Caenorhabditis elegans: one gene and its partners. The protein of the gene in region 1 purifies or fractionates together with the protein of each later gene. This does not show direct contact. Each region holds a gene or a part of one and is shown on either strand. Other genes may lie near its edges.

Evidence for each region. The genes of interacting proteins can lie anywhere in the genome.
Region 2: the proteins of cls-3 (region 1) and T09D3.3 fractionate together in Caenorhabditis elegans (co-fractionation; one large-scale study listed by BioGRID). This does not show direct contact.
Region 3: the proteins of cls-3 (region 1) and C35E7.11 fractionate together in Caenorhabditis elegans (co-fractionation; one large-scale study listed by BioGRID). This does not show direct contact.

The regions. Positions count from the first base shown.
Region 1 is NC_003281.10:9,186,038-9,192,953, reverse strand, and holds cls-3 (Protein CLASP-3), read left to right. Parts: upstream 1-1,844; 5' UTR 1,845-1,876; coding exon 1,877-1,963; intron 1,964-2,438; coding exon 2,439-2,822; intron 2,823-2,870; coding exon 2,871-2,999; intron 3,000-3,047; coding exon 3,048-3,324; intron 3,325-3,371; coding exon 3,372-3,888; intron 3,889-3,941; coding exon 3,942-4,020; intron 4,021-4,073; coding exon 4,074-4,307; intron 4,308-4,384; coding exon 4,385-4,671; intron 4,672-4,758; coding exon 4,759-4,972; intron 4,973-5,426; coding exon 5,427-5,990; intron 5,991-6,041; coding exon 6,042-6,161; intron 6,162-6,210; coding exon 6,211-6,270; 3' UTR 6,271-6,396; downstream 6,397-6,916. Other genes in the region: ZC84.7 (uncharacterized protein), read right to left, coding at 203-302, 413-516, 6,422-6,596, 6,645-6,737, 6,816-6,877. UniProt on the Caenorhabditis elegans protein: Microtubule plus-end tracking protein that promotes the stabilization of dynamic microtubules.
Region 2 is NC_003283.11:5,345,993-5,351,581, reverse strand, and holds T09D3.3 (EB domain-containing protein), read left to right. Parts: upstream 1-2,010; coding exon 2,011-2,091; intron 2,092-2,135; coding exon 2,136-2,268; intron 2,269-2,689; coding exon 2,690-3,261; intron 3,262-3,306; coding exon 3,307-3,409; intron 3,410-3,452; coding exon 3,453-3,624; intron 3,625-3,988; coding exon 3,989-4,115; intron 4,116-4,165; coding exon 4,166-4,219; intron 4,220-4,264; coding exon 4,265-4,358; intron 4,359-4,403; coding exon 4,404-4,957; intron 4,958-5,001; coding exon 5,002-5,088; downstream 5,089-5,589.
Region 3 is NC_003279.8:10,842,836-10,846,473, reverse strand, and holds C35E7.11 (Glutamic acid-rich protein-like), read right to left. Parts: upstream 1,703-3,638; 5' UTR 1,687-1,702; coding exon 1,617-1,686; intron 1,575-1,616; coding exon 1,497-1,574; intron 1,096-1,496; coding exon 854-1,095; 3' UTR 502-853; downstream 1-501. Other genes in the region: C35E7.2 (Reverse transcriptase domain-containing protein), read right to left, coding at 2,094-2,206, 2,252-2,311, 2,617-3,351.

The DNA.
Region 1 (6,916 bases):
TGAGAAATATATTTTATGTTAAAATTTTCAATTTTCGGAGATTGTTGCATCGTAATTTATCAGAAGGAAGTTTAGAAGACACATAAAAGATACAATAATCTCAAGATATTTAAAAGAATACAAATTTGATACAAAATGTTAAAATTTAAATTATTCGGTGAGAGAGAGATTCAGAATAAAATATATGCGAGTTAACAGGATTTTATACGTCTGGAAGTGCAACTTTGGCTGGTTGTGCTGGAATCGGAGATACACCACGCTCCACAATTTCATTGTATGATGGTGGCTCGTCACGATACGTGCTGAAATTTGCTAAATGAGTATATGTTTCAAAAATATTTGAAACTTTTTCAAGTTAGGTGGATTTAGGGATTGAGTTTGAGATATATAAAAACACATTAAAAGAACATACCTGATTCCATTATCAGTGATAAAGAACGGGCTTGTTGGTACAGTAAGTGAATTTCGATAAATCATTGGTGGAATTACCATTGTAACATCAACAATCGGAGAAGGCTGGAAAAATGTGGAAATTACTATAATTGACCCTATTCATACAAAATGCATTAGCCTATTCAATATAATCTAAACCAACATGTCATTTCAATTCCCATAATTTCCATAAATTTTCGATTTTCCCTCACTTTATTCTATTTTCTTTTGTTCTTTCTTTACGGACAGCGGAAGGCGATGACTGGCTGAGATTTTAATTTATTGTTTCTTCTTTATTTTATATTTTCTTTCAAGTTGACTGTTGTGAACAAAAACTGTATATTCAATGTGTTTTCTGGAACGTTTTATGAACGTAGAAATATGTAGCTATAATATTTTTGTAATTTCAGTGCATCGACCCTTTTAGGCGCACCTATCGATTCCTGTAAATACACGAAAATAGCATATATTTAAAGAGTCATATTCTGTTAGTTATCCAAACACTCTTCTTTTGTCCTTTTATTTGCTCACTAGACTTTTTTGCAGTAGTTATTTCTCTCTGCAAGTCTTTAGCTTCAATTGTTGTTCAATTCTTCAATTCTAGATGCTCTTTCTCCATTTCCAATTTGAAATTCCATTTACCCTTTTGGGCGCGAAACTACAATCAATTGGCTGCTCGCGGAGCAAGACAACAGAAATGGAAGGACCGAAGAAGATGGGAGAAAGAAGACGCCGGCGCCTTTTCTTTTTTCTCCATTTTCTTCTTCTTATTTTTCCCGTCTTTTTGAGAGCATGTTTATACTTATTTCACATGCATAAATGCCTGCTCACTAAAAGAAAAAAACGGAAAAGCGACGTATAATTTGTGGTTTTTTTCGTTATAATAGACCACTCCATCGAGATATCAAATTTCTCGTAATATTTCAAATCGCTTCACATTTAGACTGGTTGTTTCATGAGAATTGAAACATTTTTTGGCATAGTCTCTCCTCCTGTGCGCACACTCACATCTGCCTTCAAAACCAACATGTGTTAAATTGGAGCGGAATGACATGACGCGTCTGCCGTCCATCCAACGATGTCCTCTCTATGGTATCTCTTGCATCTCTTCTTCTTCGTTTTTGCCCCATTCGGACACAGCTGCTCTGGGTGTTGTCTCCCCGCACTCACACCACTAACCACTTTCTACAACTTTTTGTGCGTCGACTTTTTTGCCCTTTGTATTTTCCTAGTTTATCTTTTCCATCTATTCTCCGTTATTCAAATTTGAATTTCCCGCCAAAATTTGTGGCCGGGAAAAACGACACCTCTCAGCCATGGAGTCCTCTCGAATTATCGAACATTGTCCGCTAATTTTGAATTTCGACGTCAGAAAAGTTTCTGGTTTTTAACAGCTTTAATCTTTTTTTCAGATTTTCTCAAACCATTTTACATTTTTTATGGGATGACTAGCCGAATGCAACCAAAAAGCGGAGTTTACTCGGTTAGCAAAGCGGATTTCACAAAGATTTTCGAAGATGTCCCAAAAGTGGTGAGTATTAATAGGTACTTATAATAGTTCAACATGCCCAAATATAAAAAACACTCCAAAAATTTTTGAACATTTTTCAAAATATTTGAAAAAATTCAGAATTTCAAAAATTTGGTAAAATGCCAATTTACGAAAAGTATGGACTTTTTGGGTAATTTCGAGCACTGCTGCTGATTAGAACCCATTTAATGTTCAAATAGAAATATTTAAGTCAAACTCAAACCCAATTAAAAGAAAAAAAATGTCAAACTCGTAGTTAAAATTTATTTTTTCGATCGACATCCAAATTTATGATAGGTGAAAATTAAAGTAAGTACCATTTTTTGACTGTAAAATAACAAATTTCAAGTAATTTTTAAACGGTTTCTATGATATTTTGTCATTTTCGCACCATATAAGTAGTTTCAAACATTTCCCTTTTTGGCGATTGCAAATATGTTCCAATCAATACAACACTAGATAAAAATCTTTTAAGCCCATCACTTCTGCCGTGGACCTTCGTAATAAATTCGATGCAGTTCGAATTATTTTATCAAATAGTTCCGAAGACTGGAATAAACGACAAACTCAATTAAAAACTGTCCGAAGTCTAGTGATTCATGGGGAGAAAGTTGTCGATCGACCAACAATGATTGCTCATCTTGTTCAACTTCTTGGTTGTTTCGAGTTGGCAGTGAAGGATCTTCGATCACAAGTTTTACGAGAAGCCGCAATAACATGCAGTTTCATTGTTAGTAAATATGGAATCGAGACTCATTCAATTGGAGAGGATATTCTCGTTCCAGCAATGTCACAAGTTGCTGTTAGCACGAAGATTATGGCCACTTCAGCGAGCACATTGACAGAATTTATTGTAGAAGTACGTTTTTTGAATCCACAAACTTATAAGATTTCCCTAAAATTTCAGTATGTACAAACCCGTCAAGTGTTCACAATTCTCTCTTCGTTCTCAACATCCAAGGACAAATCTCAAAGAAGACAGCTGGCTGCTCTTCTAGAAATTGTTATCAGTAAATGGAGTGATAGAATCAAAAAGGTAGTTTACTAATTGATAATAACTAATTGAAATATTGTATTTTTTCAGCAAATAATGCGTCAAATCTGCGAGCTCATAAAATCAGCAATCAATGATGCTGACTCGGAGACAAGAGCAGCTGGTAGAAGAGCATTTGCAAAACTTGACGAAATGCATTCCGAAGAAGCTGATGCTTTGTATCTAGAACTCGATCATTCCAAACAGAAAATGCTTAGAGGGGGAGATGCAGCGTCTTCATGGGCAAGTGTGAATAGTGAAAAGGGCTCAATACCAATTCGTTCGAAATTATCAGCTGGATCGAAAGCTCATATGAATATCAGTGCGAGTAAGTTTTTGATTTCAAACTGGATGTTCAAAGTTACTTTGAAACAGAATTTCTCGCGCAAAGAAGTGCGTCTGCAATTGATCCAAAAGCTACAAAGTTTGCTGGACCTAGTCGACTGGTTCGTCCGACTTCTACAAAAACAATGGCAAGGCAAGATACTTCACCAGCTGGATGTAAGTATTCTAATTTTATATCTATGTTTTTCAAAACTCTCTTGCTTTCCGCCAAAATTCCATATCCAAACCGGCCCGGATCTAGAACAAGAACATCTTCAATTACTTCCACCGACTCTCGTGACACATCTCCAACCAGAAGGAATTCTCCATTACCACCAGAAACACAGAAAGCTAGAGTCAAATATGGAAACGGGTCTTTCTTTGCAAAACTTGGAATGCCGGATACTACCGACGATGATGAGTTTTTACTACCGATTCGAATAAGATCTCCCTTGAAAACACCGACAATAGAAGCACACGACAAGGTTTCCCAAGTTTTGAAAGAATGTTGCTCTTCTTCAGTTTCGGAGAAAAAGGAAGGAATCAAGAAACTGTTGCCTATTGTAGCGTGAGTTTTTTAAAGTTCAAAATGTTTTGACCTCAAAAAATTTAAAATTTCAGTGACACTAGTCTAAACCCAATTGAGATCAAAAACATTGGAAATTGTCTAAATCGGTTGCTTTCGGATGCTTCAAATACCGTAAGCTGATTCAGAAGAGTGCTTTGATTATTTAAAAAATAACTCAAATTTAGATGGTTCTTGAGATCTACTCTATATTCGTTCGAACCCATAGTAGTCGATTATCCGAATGGCTTCGATTAGCTCTTGCAAAATTGTTTGCTCGGAAAGCCGCTGAAACTCTGCCCAACACTAAAAAACAAATTGGTCATACTTTGAACGTCATCCTTGAATGCTTCAATGCTCATCACCAACTTGTCACAGTCTGCGAGCTAATGTGCGATCCGATACATTTGATGGTTCCAAAGGTTGGTATTTTCCCATTAGATTTTTAAAAATACATCATTTTTAAGAATTGTTAAATAATTTTCAAAAAAAATTTCAGGCTCGTGTTGTACTGCTGGAGTATTTGACAAGTCTGCTAGATGAGTATACGGAACCTGGAGCATCCATTAATGCTAAAGAATTGAAGACCGCAATCCGAAAAATGCTCACATGGGCCTCTGATCCTAGACTGTCAATTCTACTAACACCACATGTTGAGAAAGCGATTTGCTCCATGTTTTGTGTTAATGTCGCTGATTTCTCTGCACTAATTAGCGATCTTGACAGTGAGCAGAAGAACTGGATACACCAAACACTTCAGAGAAATGGACTCGAAAATGGAATAAGGTTTGTTCAGTATGGTCATGCATTCGTTATGAGAAATGAGAAATGACTTCAAACTCCCCATAGACATGGCTCATCACTTTTTTGCAGTAGCAACAACATCGCAACCAACTCTGGAGCAACGGCTTCTCGTGAAACAAGCAACACTTCTTTCCAAAAAGAGTCAACATCATTCGGTCTACCCGAGTTTGGAGCACGAAAAGGCGGAACTGGCGTCAATCTCGGCTCGCTCAATATCTCTAACAATCTGGCATTGAGTAGGCTAGAAGAGCAATCAACGTCAAGGCTCATGGAGAAAGTTAATGTGAGTGTTTTTATTCTCTCAATAATTATAGATTTATTCAATTTTTAGAATTTAATTTTCCAGTTTCGTTGAGTAAATAGAAAAAAAAACATTAAAAACATTTTATTTCGTATTAAATAGCAAAATTTTTTACTAAAATTTAAAGAGAGAATATAGTAAAATATTTGATTTATCTGTAAATAATTTTTATTTCAGTCTGAAAAAACACTGAAAAAGTTGTCGGAAAGTTTAAAGTTTCCATTAAAACATTTTGAAGACTTGTTGGATTTTATTTCGGCAATTTTCAACCTTTAGGAAATTTTTGAACATTTGTCCAAATGTTCTAACTAAAATAACAATTATTTTGAGATAAAACAAATATTTGCATATGTTACGTCACTAAATTTCAATTAAAATGATTGAAATAACATTTTTTTAATTTTCTTTTTCCTAGTTTAATATTCAACATTTCCAGCTAAACTCCACTGTCACACTCCCACCTGATACACTGGAAAAAATCCAGAACGTTCAAGACCTCCTACAAAAGATGAGAAGCTCTGAAAACGCGGATGAGCAAGAAAGTGCAATAAGCTCTATTTACATGATGATCTGCGATGGAGGTTTCGGTGTGTGGGAGCAGTGTTATGCAAAACTTCTTCTCAACTTATTCGAAATTCTTTCAAAAAGTCGATCAGAAAATAATAAGAAAATGTGCCTACGAATTCTCGGGAAGATGTGCACCGCGCAAGCTGCAAAACTGTTTGATTCGACTGAAATGGCAGTGTGCAAAGTTCTGGATGCAGCTGTAAATACGAACGACGCAACAACGGCTCTTGCTGTGGAAGATTGTTTGAGAACATTGGCAACTCATCTACCACTTTCAAATATTATTAATATTGCAAAAGTTATTCTAAATCAAGAACCTATCGACGATGAAAGAGCTTCTCTAGTTCTTAAAATGGTAACACGATTATTTGAGGAACTTCCAGCAGAGGAGTTGAATAATATTGTAGATGATATCACTCCAACGATTATTAAAGTGAGTCACGAAAACTTTAGCAAACTCAATTGGAACTCATAACATTTTCAGGCGTATCAATCTACGTCATCAACTGTTAGGAAGACCGTCGTCTATTGTCTTGTCGCCATGGTAAATCGAGTTGGCGAGCAAAGGATGACACCACATTTCACCAAGCTGCCAAAAGCAATGGTAAGGCTTCATATTTGATTGCGTTTCATGATAGCATCACACTTTCCAGACCAATCTCATACAAGTCTACGTCAACAGGGCGATCTCAACAAGTTTACCAAGGCTATAATTTCAAATTTAACTGTTTCTAGATCTCAAATTGACATGATGCATCAAAACGGGTAAAACTCGCATTTGTTTTCAATATTTAATACTTGTTTGGTTTCCAGCTTTCAAATTTAAATAAAATTTCAAAAGTATAAAGTGTAAAATCAACTAACCGGCACAGGTGACACAGGTCGACTATCCTCCCAAGCAATCGGAGAGGATAGAGGAATCACTGATGCACAGCTTTTACGACCCGAATGAATTAGATATGCGAATCGAGCAAAGCAAAATCCAAGAAAGAACAGCACCCAAGAGAGAATATACGGGATGAGAAGAAGTGGGATACTTCTGTAAATAAGGAGGGGTTTATGATTTTGAAGACAGTGTGAAACGTACTGTTTACTGACGATGGACAGAAATATAATATTCTCGACGATTATTAAGATTGCGAAAAAAATTGCAACGCTGGATATTCCAATGAATACATTTCTGTAACGAAAATTTTTTTGATCGAAGATTTGAGCCAAGTTTGGGCAAAAAACTGGCGTCCATATTAGACAGACTTACCGATATGGTCGGAATTTAAGAACAACGCCAGGAGTTAAATATTCTTGTAATTGAAAGCACATTTCCTAGCAATCAAATTATTTGAAATGAAGATGAAGCTA
Region 2 (5,589 bases), on another chromosome or scaffold:
TGGTCAAGCGTGTATCAGAAATGGTCATTCTTCTGACGATGTATCAGAAATGGTCATTCTTCTGACAATTGGCAACCGACTTGTCTCCGAGAGAACTGCAAATCACTCAGCAATCTGGACACATCAAATTGCTGAACAATTCCGGGAGACGTATTGTGTTTGGAGTGAGCACGGCGCTTAAAAAAGCAACAAGTACTCCGACAGGAGTTCTGGATCCAAATGAAGCGGCTCTTTTCACAGTGAAGTGTGATGGAAAGGATGTAAGTGGGGAAAGGCATGAGCGCAAGGGTGGTTGAGTTTTCGGCAATTAGAAGATTTGCCAAAAAAGGAGAATTGTAGTATAAAACTTTAACTTTCTATACATTTCGGAGCGTAGAAATGTATTCCGTTGAAAAATTTTAATTTTTCAAATTAAAACTGCCCAAAACTCAAAAAAGAAAATTGTCGAAATTGCCGAAAATTCAAAACCCGGCAATATGGGCCTACGTGGAAATATCTCCCACTTTTTATCGATCAAGAAGGAAGTTGATGTTTTAAATTTTAAATTTCAAAATTTATTTTAAAATCGTTGTGAAACGTATGACTATGCAAGCTTACCCGATTGATAAAAAGTTGGAAGCAATTACACGTAGCCGCAATGTTTCATTTATTAAAATTTTCAAAATTTTCAGCAAAACGACCGTATCACTATCATCTACACAAATCCTCCAGATGGAACCGACAAGCAGTATCGATCCGAATACTTTCTCCGTGAAGACGCTCTGATCGTCAGAAAGAATCTCTCGACACGCTTTGAGAAGATTACAGCTGTACTTGCAAAATTCGAAAAGGCTAATTAGTTTGTAAATGATATTTTTGCTTAAAAATAAAGTCTGTGTCTTGATTCCGAAACAAAAATGAAAAGAATGACAATGTTTGCAATTCTTTTGGAATTTTTTCGTCAGCGGATTGTGCAGCAGCACGTGGTGATCGTGAGAATGCTTGATCACTTTTAGCTGTGGTCAAGAATGTGTAAACTGGGAACATCGAACACATACTAGAATTTAGTCGACTATGAAATCAAGAGAATATATTTAGATTTTTTTCAAAGATTAAAAAAGGTTTAAAAAAACTTTTTTTTTTCAAGATTTTATGAATCACTTTTCAATCATACTCGGAAGTTAGTCATGTTTTTGTCCCGTTGCGTTTTTGAAAAACTGGAATCTGGAAAACTTAGATTATTGGAGGAAAAGTTACACAAGAGGGTATTTTTTCGAATAATCAAAATATGACAATATATAATAAAAGTTGAAATTTTTGGAAATTTTTGGAAATGTCAAAGTTTCGGTTAATTTGAACAAACATTATGTTTAGAAGTTAAAACATTTTTTTTTTAATTTCAAAAACAAACATGAAAAAAGGTTGAATTCCGGCATTAATGAATTCTCTAGTTTTTGGCATTTTTGCATTTTACCTTATATTAATTGGTTTTTGTTTATGTTATCTTTGATTTTTGATTTGAAAAACATAAATTGACAAGGTTTTATAATTTTTTCCGCAAAAAAAGATCAAATTAATAAATAAATTAACATAGTCAGAAAATGCAATAATTTTAAAACCCCTAGGTTATTCATTTGCACGAGAGTTCTAAATTGATTCAGTCTTTTTATTTATCGCAAAATTGAAAATAAAATTAGAAAAATGCTATACATTAGGGTGATACGGTTAGATTTGGTACAATGATTCTGTCATTTAGGGCAAAAAATCCATAGGTGCTACTCCACCTTCATATTCCCAAAATTCAATAATTATTCAACCTTTTCCAAATATCTCTACCTCGATCATGTAATAAGATAAATCGTAATGATTACGCAAATCCAAATACAAACATTAAAGGAGACGCACGCATATTCTGTCATTCATTAGATAATTTGGAGAGAGGCGAAAAGATATTTGAACAAATAATAAATGAATGTGTCAAAAGTTGAACGGGCACATTTTGATATTCAACGTTTTCCAAATCAGTGAATTATGAGCTTTATCAGTGCGACTAAATTCGTAATATTTTTTGCTGCTTCAATAAATGCACAAAAAGTTGAACAAGATCATTCGGTTCGTTTTTTTAAAATTTTATTGTGTTCACAGGAAATTTTCAGGTAGTAAATAGAGTTTCAAATATTGCGGAAAAATACAGTAATTGGGCTCTAGGAAAATCAGATTATCGAAATGGAAATTTGAATAATTTTCAAGTCACTCAAGTTCAAAGTCCTCCAAGAAACTACAATACAGGTGAGGGTTTCAGATAACTTTTGTAACTATTTTAAAACTCACTAGTTTGTAGTCAAATCTAGTAGCTTGCCTTTTTTTAACTTTTTAGAGATTGAATAGTGTTTTTAACTCAACACTTTTGCTTTTGAAGTTTAGTTATAAACTAGGCAAGACCTAGTTTAAGCTTTGCCCAAATTTAAATGTTGAACAAACTTCTCTCGTGTGGTTTTAAACTTGCCAAAATATTGCTCAACTCTTTCTTACCTGTTGCCTAAGCTTTGCCTAAGTTTGGCCACCTGTTGAACTAGCTAATATTTTTTTGACAAAACTTGGCCAAGAATCTAAATATTGGAAAATACCTAGCAGTTGTAGGAGATTATTTTTAAAAAATTTTCTGATTTATCACATCAGTTTCAAAAACTATACCTATTTTGAATTTCAGCTCCAGTAAAACGATTTTTTCATCAAGTCCGAATCCAGCCGCCTCTTATCATCAAACCTGTAACTTATTCGGAAACATCTTATCAACCAATTGACATCTACTCAACTACACAAACTCCAATCCTGACAACTCCACCATATCCTTCTCGGATTTCTCATTTTCCAACTGAAAATCGTCAAATCTTCCGATCTCCAGTACGACAACATTACCAGCCATCTCCAAATTTTCCAAGACTTTTGGAAACTGAAGTACCAGTTTCTCAGTCATCTCCGATGTTTACTTCAAATTCTTCATTACTCCCACCACATATGTCTCAAAACTTTGGCTCTTCAATATTAACACAACTTCTTAACCCAATTCTACAAGAACCTAATATTCCAACAGCGCCTCCAAATTTACAAATATCACCTCAAATGCACATTAATCCAAATTTCCCGACATTAGTTCCATTACCAATTCCTCAACCGGTAGTTCTTGAACCGACTAAAGAAGAAGTGATGAAAATTGCATCGAAGAAGAATCTATACGGAATGCCAAGATTTCCAATCGAACCTCACCGTGGATTTTTTCAGGTTTGATATATATTTATTAAAACTTCAAACATCTAAAACCGTTAGGCATCAATGAGCTGCATGGATGGCTGGTGTGGAAATGAATGCTGTGAACCGAGGAGACCATTTGCAGCACCTACCACTACGATCCAAGCAAGCGTGCTACCAGGTACAGTAGAAGGGGTAAAAAAATAATAAATTTTTTTTTTCAGGCTCACCAAGCCCACCGCATCCCCTGGTTTTAGTTGTACATCCCGCACCACAGGCACAATGCTCTCCGGCCTGCCAACCTCATTGTAGTCAGCAATGTGTTGCTAGACTTCAATATATGCATGAGTCACAGTTCTACAACCACATTTTGGAGCCAAGTTGCCGTCCAGATTGGTATGATTTTTTATGTAACTGAAAATTTCTTCCATATAGGCGCCAAAATGCGTGCCTTGCAGATCTTCTGCTAAAACACATATTTAAGAACTTTTTTCATCTCGTTATTTGACTTTCATTAAATTGATTGCTATCAGAAAGTTAGTACTTTAGTAAATTTAGTAAATTTTTAAGTAAATTTATGTCAAATTGAAGGAAAAAGGTCGGCAGGTCTCAGGCAGGTAAATAAAGGCATTTAGCTCAGCCAACCTCCTAAATTCGTACAATCCCATAAAATTTTTTTCGAATTTTCAAAACGTCTAAATATAAAATTCGAAAAAAATTTAATTGAATATTTTCATTTAATCAATAATTTATGTTCCAGTATGCCATCCTGCCACGTCGATTGCCTCATAATTCCTCCACAGCAAGTCCGATGCAATAGCTTCAATTGTCAGTGTTTGGCTGGCTACGTGCAATGTGCCGCATTTACTTGTTGCATGAGATACCCGGTGAGAATATCCGTTTGGGAAAATCCAAACAACATGTATTTTCCTTCCAGAATCTGGCTGCAAGAATGAAATCCAACGTGATGGCAAAGTCATCTGAAGAAGAGGTGAGATGGAGGAAAGAGTGTAGTGCCAAAATTGAATATTTTTAGGCAAACGTTAGCGAGGAGGGGAAACAAGATAATGAGATCAGCTATCGAAGAATGTATACGCCTAATAGAATGAGGGCTGGAAAGGGGAAATACGGTTGGGAATATCAAGGGGACATCATCTCGAATCAATTGTTTTCAGACATTGAGAATGTGACATCACCACCAGTTATTAGACCTTCTTATTGGACAAAACATCGAGTGAAGTCAACGAAAGAACCAAAAACTACAATATTCACAACAACTCCAGTGCCATGCCCCACGACCACATCTACGACAACAAGTGCAACTACACTAGTTCCAACCACATCTAGTTCTACAACTACTACAACAACTACTACACCAGTACCCGTTACATCTACAACAACTGAACCTACTACGACAACATATACAACTTCAACTAGTACTAGCACCACAACTACACTTCCACCGACAACATCCACCCCAAAAATTGTGGTTAACCTAACTCCTATCTATCCGGATATGTTAATGAAAGCAAACAAAGTTCCAATGATACCAGCCTACGGAATTTGGACAATTCCGCCCCATGTACCACCCTCTTCAAAAGAATTTGATAACCCATTGAGTGGAATAAAAACCTCGCCAACTGAAAAGCGGAATTCTATTGGTGATATTCGCGGGAGACATGTTATCCGGTCTGAAAACTTTTTGGATGTTCTCAGTGAGCTGGCGCAGGTTTGAAATTCACTTCATGTATCTATCCTACATACAATTTTTAGGTGAAGCTTAAAGAGGATATAACGGATGACTTTTCACATGCAGCAAATTTCATCGATTTTATGACGGACAGATTTAGCAAAATTTAGGAAAATTTTATAGCTGGATATTGAACTATTGGACTGAATTTATGTATTTGTACAAATAAAATATTTCTGAAAATCCGAGAGATTTTATCATGAACATTTTCACATTCTAATGTTCTAGAAAATGGAGTGCGGGATTTTTTTTCACCATTTTTTTGGTTTCTTCACTGATAAAATCAAAAGAATTGTTGTTGTTGTTGTTGTATCTGATCTTAGAAACTTTAAAAAAAAGTATTATTAATTATTTGTTTACAGTTTGGTCATTCAAAAAATGTCATTTTTCAGCTATATAAACATTTTTAAAGCCTTCAGAATTTTAAAAATATAAATCAACAGAGTTTAAACTGATAGAGGTGGAGTAGCGCCAGTGGGGAGAAAACCAAAACGACCGAATCTCATAATAAAACACTCCAAAGTTTTAGATTTTTCATAATTTTCGGCCAAGTTTTGGATGTTTGCCAAAATTTTGAAAAATATGAGCTTTTGATGAGATCCAAAGCACTT
Region 3 (3,638 bases), on another chromosome or scaffold:
GGGCAAAAAGTAATTCCTATTTACGTAAACAGAGATAAAGACTGATAAAGGAAAAATAAAAGAATAAAACATGAGAAAGGGGCCTTCGACCAAACAATAGAAACAATTGAAGACTGAATGACTACATTTTGTGTTTCCAGATTGTTGTGCGCTCTCGGACGCTGGAAAATATTCCAATAATTAGAGACACAATAGGAAATTGAGAGACATTGATGTCTAGAGTAAATATTGATTGGTTTTTTATGGGTGGAGTCTGGAGGGAGTGCATTAACGATGTAGATGGGAAGGAATGTATTTTGATCGATCGGAAAGTTTACGATTCTTTATTTTTGGTACATCTCTATCTCTTCACGATATTCTCCTTTTACAACAGTCTACCATTTGAGACATCGCCTCCTCTTACAGCACCTGTTATAGTGTGACAATATGTAAGAAAGTCCTCTTGTCAATTGACCTAATATTCTAGACATCTAATGATCTCAAGAACATATCGAATGTAGGTTAGCCAATATCTAGTTTATTTAAATTTTAACTCCAGAACAACCAAAAAAGCTATAGAAATCGACATTTGAAGTGTAAAAATGAGGGAAAAATGGTTTAGAATAAAAAAAGAACTGTTTGCGAGACGTTGAAAACTGTGAGCTATTTGAAAATAATAAACAAAAAGCGAGCAAACTGAGCTTTTTGCTTGAGCTTGAGCTAAAAAAAAAGGTCCAGAAAAAACAAACAAACATTTTTTGAGATTTTACGATTCATACGCTAATATGATGATAGATGAGATCTTGAGAATAAATGGAAAGATCTAGTGGTATTTGATTATAATTATAAAGAGAATCTTTAGACAATTTAAAATCTACTCCTCGTCATTTTCTTCCTCATCAGCCTCTTCTTCTTCTTCTTCCGGCTCATTTGGTTGCTCCTCACTCTCGGCAACTTGCTCATCTTGAGCTTCAACTTCAGTGGAACCCTTTTCCTCAACAACGGATCCTCCATTGGCTTTCTTGAGCTCTTCCTCGTCGTACGTGTCGTCTTCAATGAGCTGATGAACTTCTTCAAAGGATGGCTTCACCTTCTTTGGTGGTGGAACTTCGATAACTGAAATTTTATGCTGATATAAAAATATATGTTGTCTGTATTTCTTGATTTTTCATTGAAAATTAGACGATTATAATTATTTTATGAGATATTATAGTAAAAATATATCAACAAAAAATTTTGTCAGAATTTTCTAAAACTCGCCAAACATATTTTTTGAGTAATATTTCAATAAAATAAATTGAAAACTAATTCGAAAACATTGGCGACGTCTTGCAAATAACAGAAGAATGTCGTATATTTTAGTTCAACATAGAAAAATTTCGGTAAAAACTGAAATCACTCAAAAACTAAACGGATGAACTTTTTGAAAATTTACCAAAAATAATTTCCAGTTTGTTCTAATAAATTTAAATGCATTCCGAGTTTGTCTGCAATTTAAATATTCAAACTATACTAACCATCATCGTCGCCTTCTTTCCCCTCAGCCTCTTCAGCGACCCGCTTTCTAGTCTCCATCGACTTTTCGGAGGAACCTTCTGAAAAAAAAATTATCAGGGTTTCAGATAAATTTTCCTCACCCTCACTGAATGGGCACTCGACTTCCGGAGATCTTGGCGGAGAATCTGGAACTTCGACGATCTCGGACATGGCTGGTTTGCAGTTGCTAAAAATGCTTGAAAATTTAGTTTAAAAAAAAATAAATTAAAAGTGAAAAGTAAAAAGCAGAGATTATAAACTCTTTAAATAAGTTTAATTTAGTTTCCCGGGGTTATTTCCCAGTTGTATAACTTTTTATAGCAGGACGAAAAAGCAGGAAATTCAAGTGAAACTAGGATACTATGAAAGGAAAGGTAGCTGGAAACGTACAGTAAAAATGGGGTTTCTATGTGTAATTGAGGATATGGAATCGTTTTGTCACAGATTTCCATATGAAAACCAGAAAATTGGGGATGAGAACACAGGAAGAAGATAAGAAAAAACATGCACAATTGAAATCAAAAGATATAGGAATTTCAATTTTTGAGAGTAGTTTGATTGAGTTTTGGGGTAAAAAACTATTGAACGCGGTTTTTGAGTGACTCGACAAGAACTTTCATTTCTCGATCCACGTCCTCATCATCATCATCAGCTTCTGAAAATTCGTCCACATCATTGCCGTTCTCGTCGCCTGAAACTTGAGAATTAAACTGAGATTTATCATTTCAATTCTCACTCTCTGATTCTTCGTCTGGTTCAAGGAAGTGCAGCTTTTTCGGCTTTTTGAAAGTAGTGTCTGGAAATATAGGGGCTTATACTTTTCTGGCGAGCTTATTTTCTTGGTAGCTAACGCGCTTCTAATCTTTTTTCGCCGTTATTTTTTGAGCGCTAAATGCCTTTTGATAGTTCCAAATTTGATTTCTGTCCTGTTTGAAGATCAAAAGCTTCAAGCTCAAAGCATCAAGGATCCCTTAGAGATCGTATAGTCGTCTGCACGTGATTATACTTATACAAATTTCTGCGACAGAAGGTTGAGAGTGTGCGAGAAAAAGCTTGCGGGGTGCTCTAGAAAGTTGAAAATGTCTGACAGAAACAACGTACCTTCCAAACCAGACAATTGTGTCCTTACATCGGAAACTTCTTCTCTAAGCTTATCAAACCGATCATTCGATTTTTTCAGCATTTCCTTTTTATCAGTTGAACTTGGAATTCGGGGTGAAGGTGGGATCACTCTGTTATACTTTTTAGGACCTTCTGTGAGACGTCTTTCTCTTCTTGGTGCGATTCCTCTTTGCGCGAGTATGAGCTCTGCGATGCTTTGCATTGAGTTGGCTGTCATTTGAGGAGCATTTGGAGCATGAGGTGCTTGCTGTGGAAAGGTTGAAGGCATCGGATGAATCGGGTACGGAAACATGCTTGCGGCACTGTTAGGCGGCTGTTGTAGTTGTGATGAGTGTAGACTGCAAACTGCATTTCCAATGCTTCGAATTTCATTGGCCATATGCTGCATTTGTCCATTTTGCATAGCTTGCTCATGCTGCAGACCTGATATTTGTCTAAGCAAGTCTGATATCGTGTGATTGAAATATTCCACTGGAACATAATGAGGTTGGGCAACACGGTGAGTCATTTGTGGGTGTGGTGGTGCGGTAAACTGTTCCTTTGGTTTTTCAAAATCGATTATCTGCTTGAACAAGTTGTCCTCCATATTACACAATTTTTGGAAAACTTTCAGCTCAATATCATCAAAATCCTCCTGTGCATCTTCATATTCGGAATTCTTTTTGTAAGTCGGGTGGTAATCCGGATGCATTTGATTGCGTAGAGTAGGTTTTCCTTAAAAATATTCATTGCGACTTTTGAAGCCAATTTCTTGCTCAAGATTTATCAGAAAATGTTCAGTTGGTTCAGAAATTGGCTACAAATATAAATATTTAGCAAATTAGTTGCATCGAAATAGTACTAAACGAATATGTTTGAAGCAGATGTTCAGATTTTTAGATTTGAAAATTAATTATTTTTACTCAAATTTTTAATAGTTCTACGGGGCTTCTATGGTAGACTGAAAAACAATTAGCTTAACCAAATTTTCTACTCTACTCTACATTGTGATCAGTTCAATT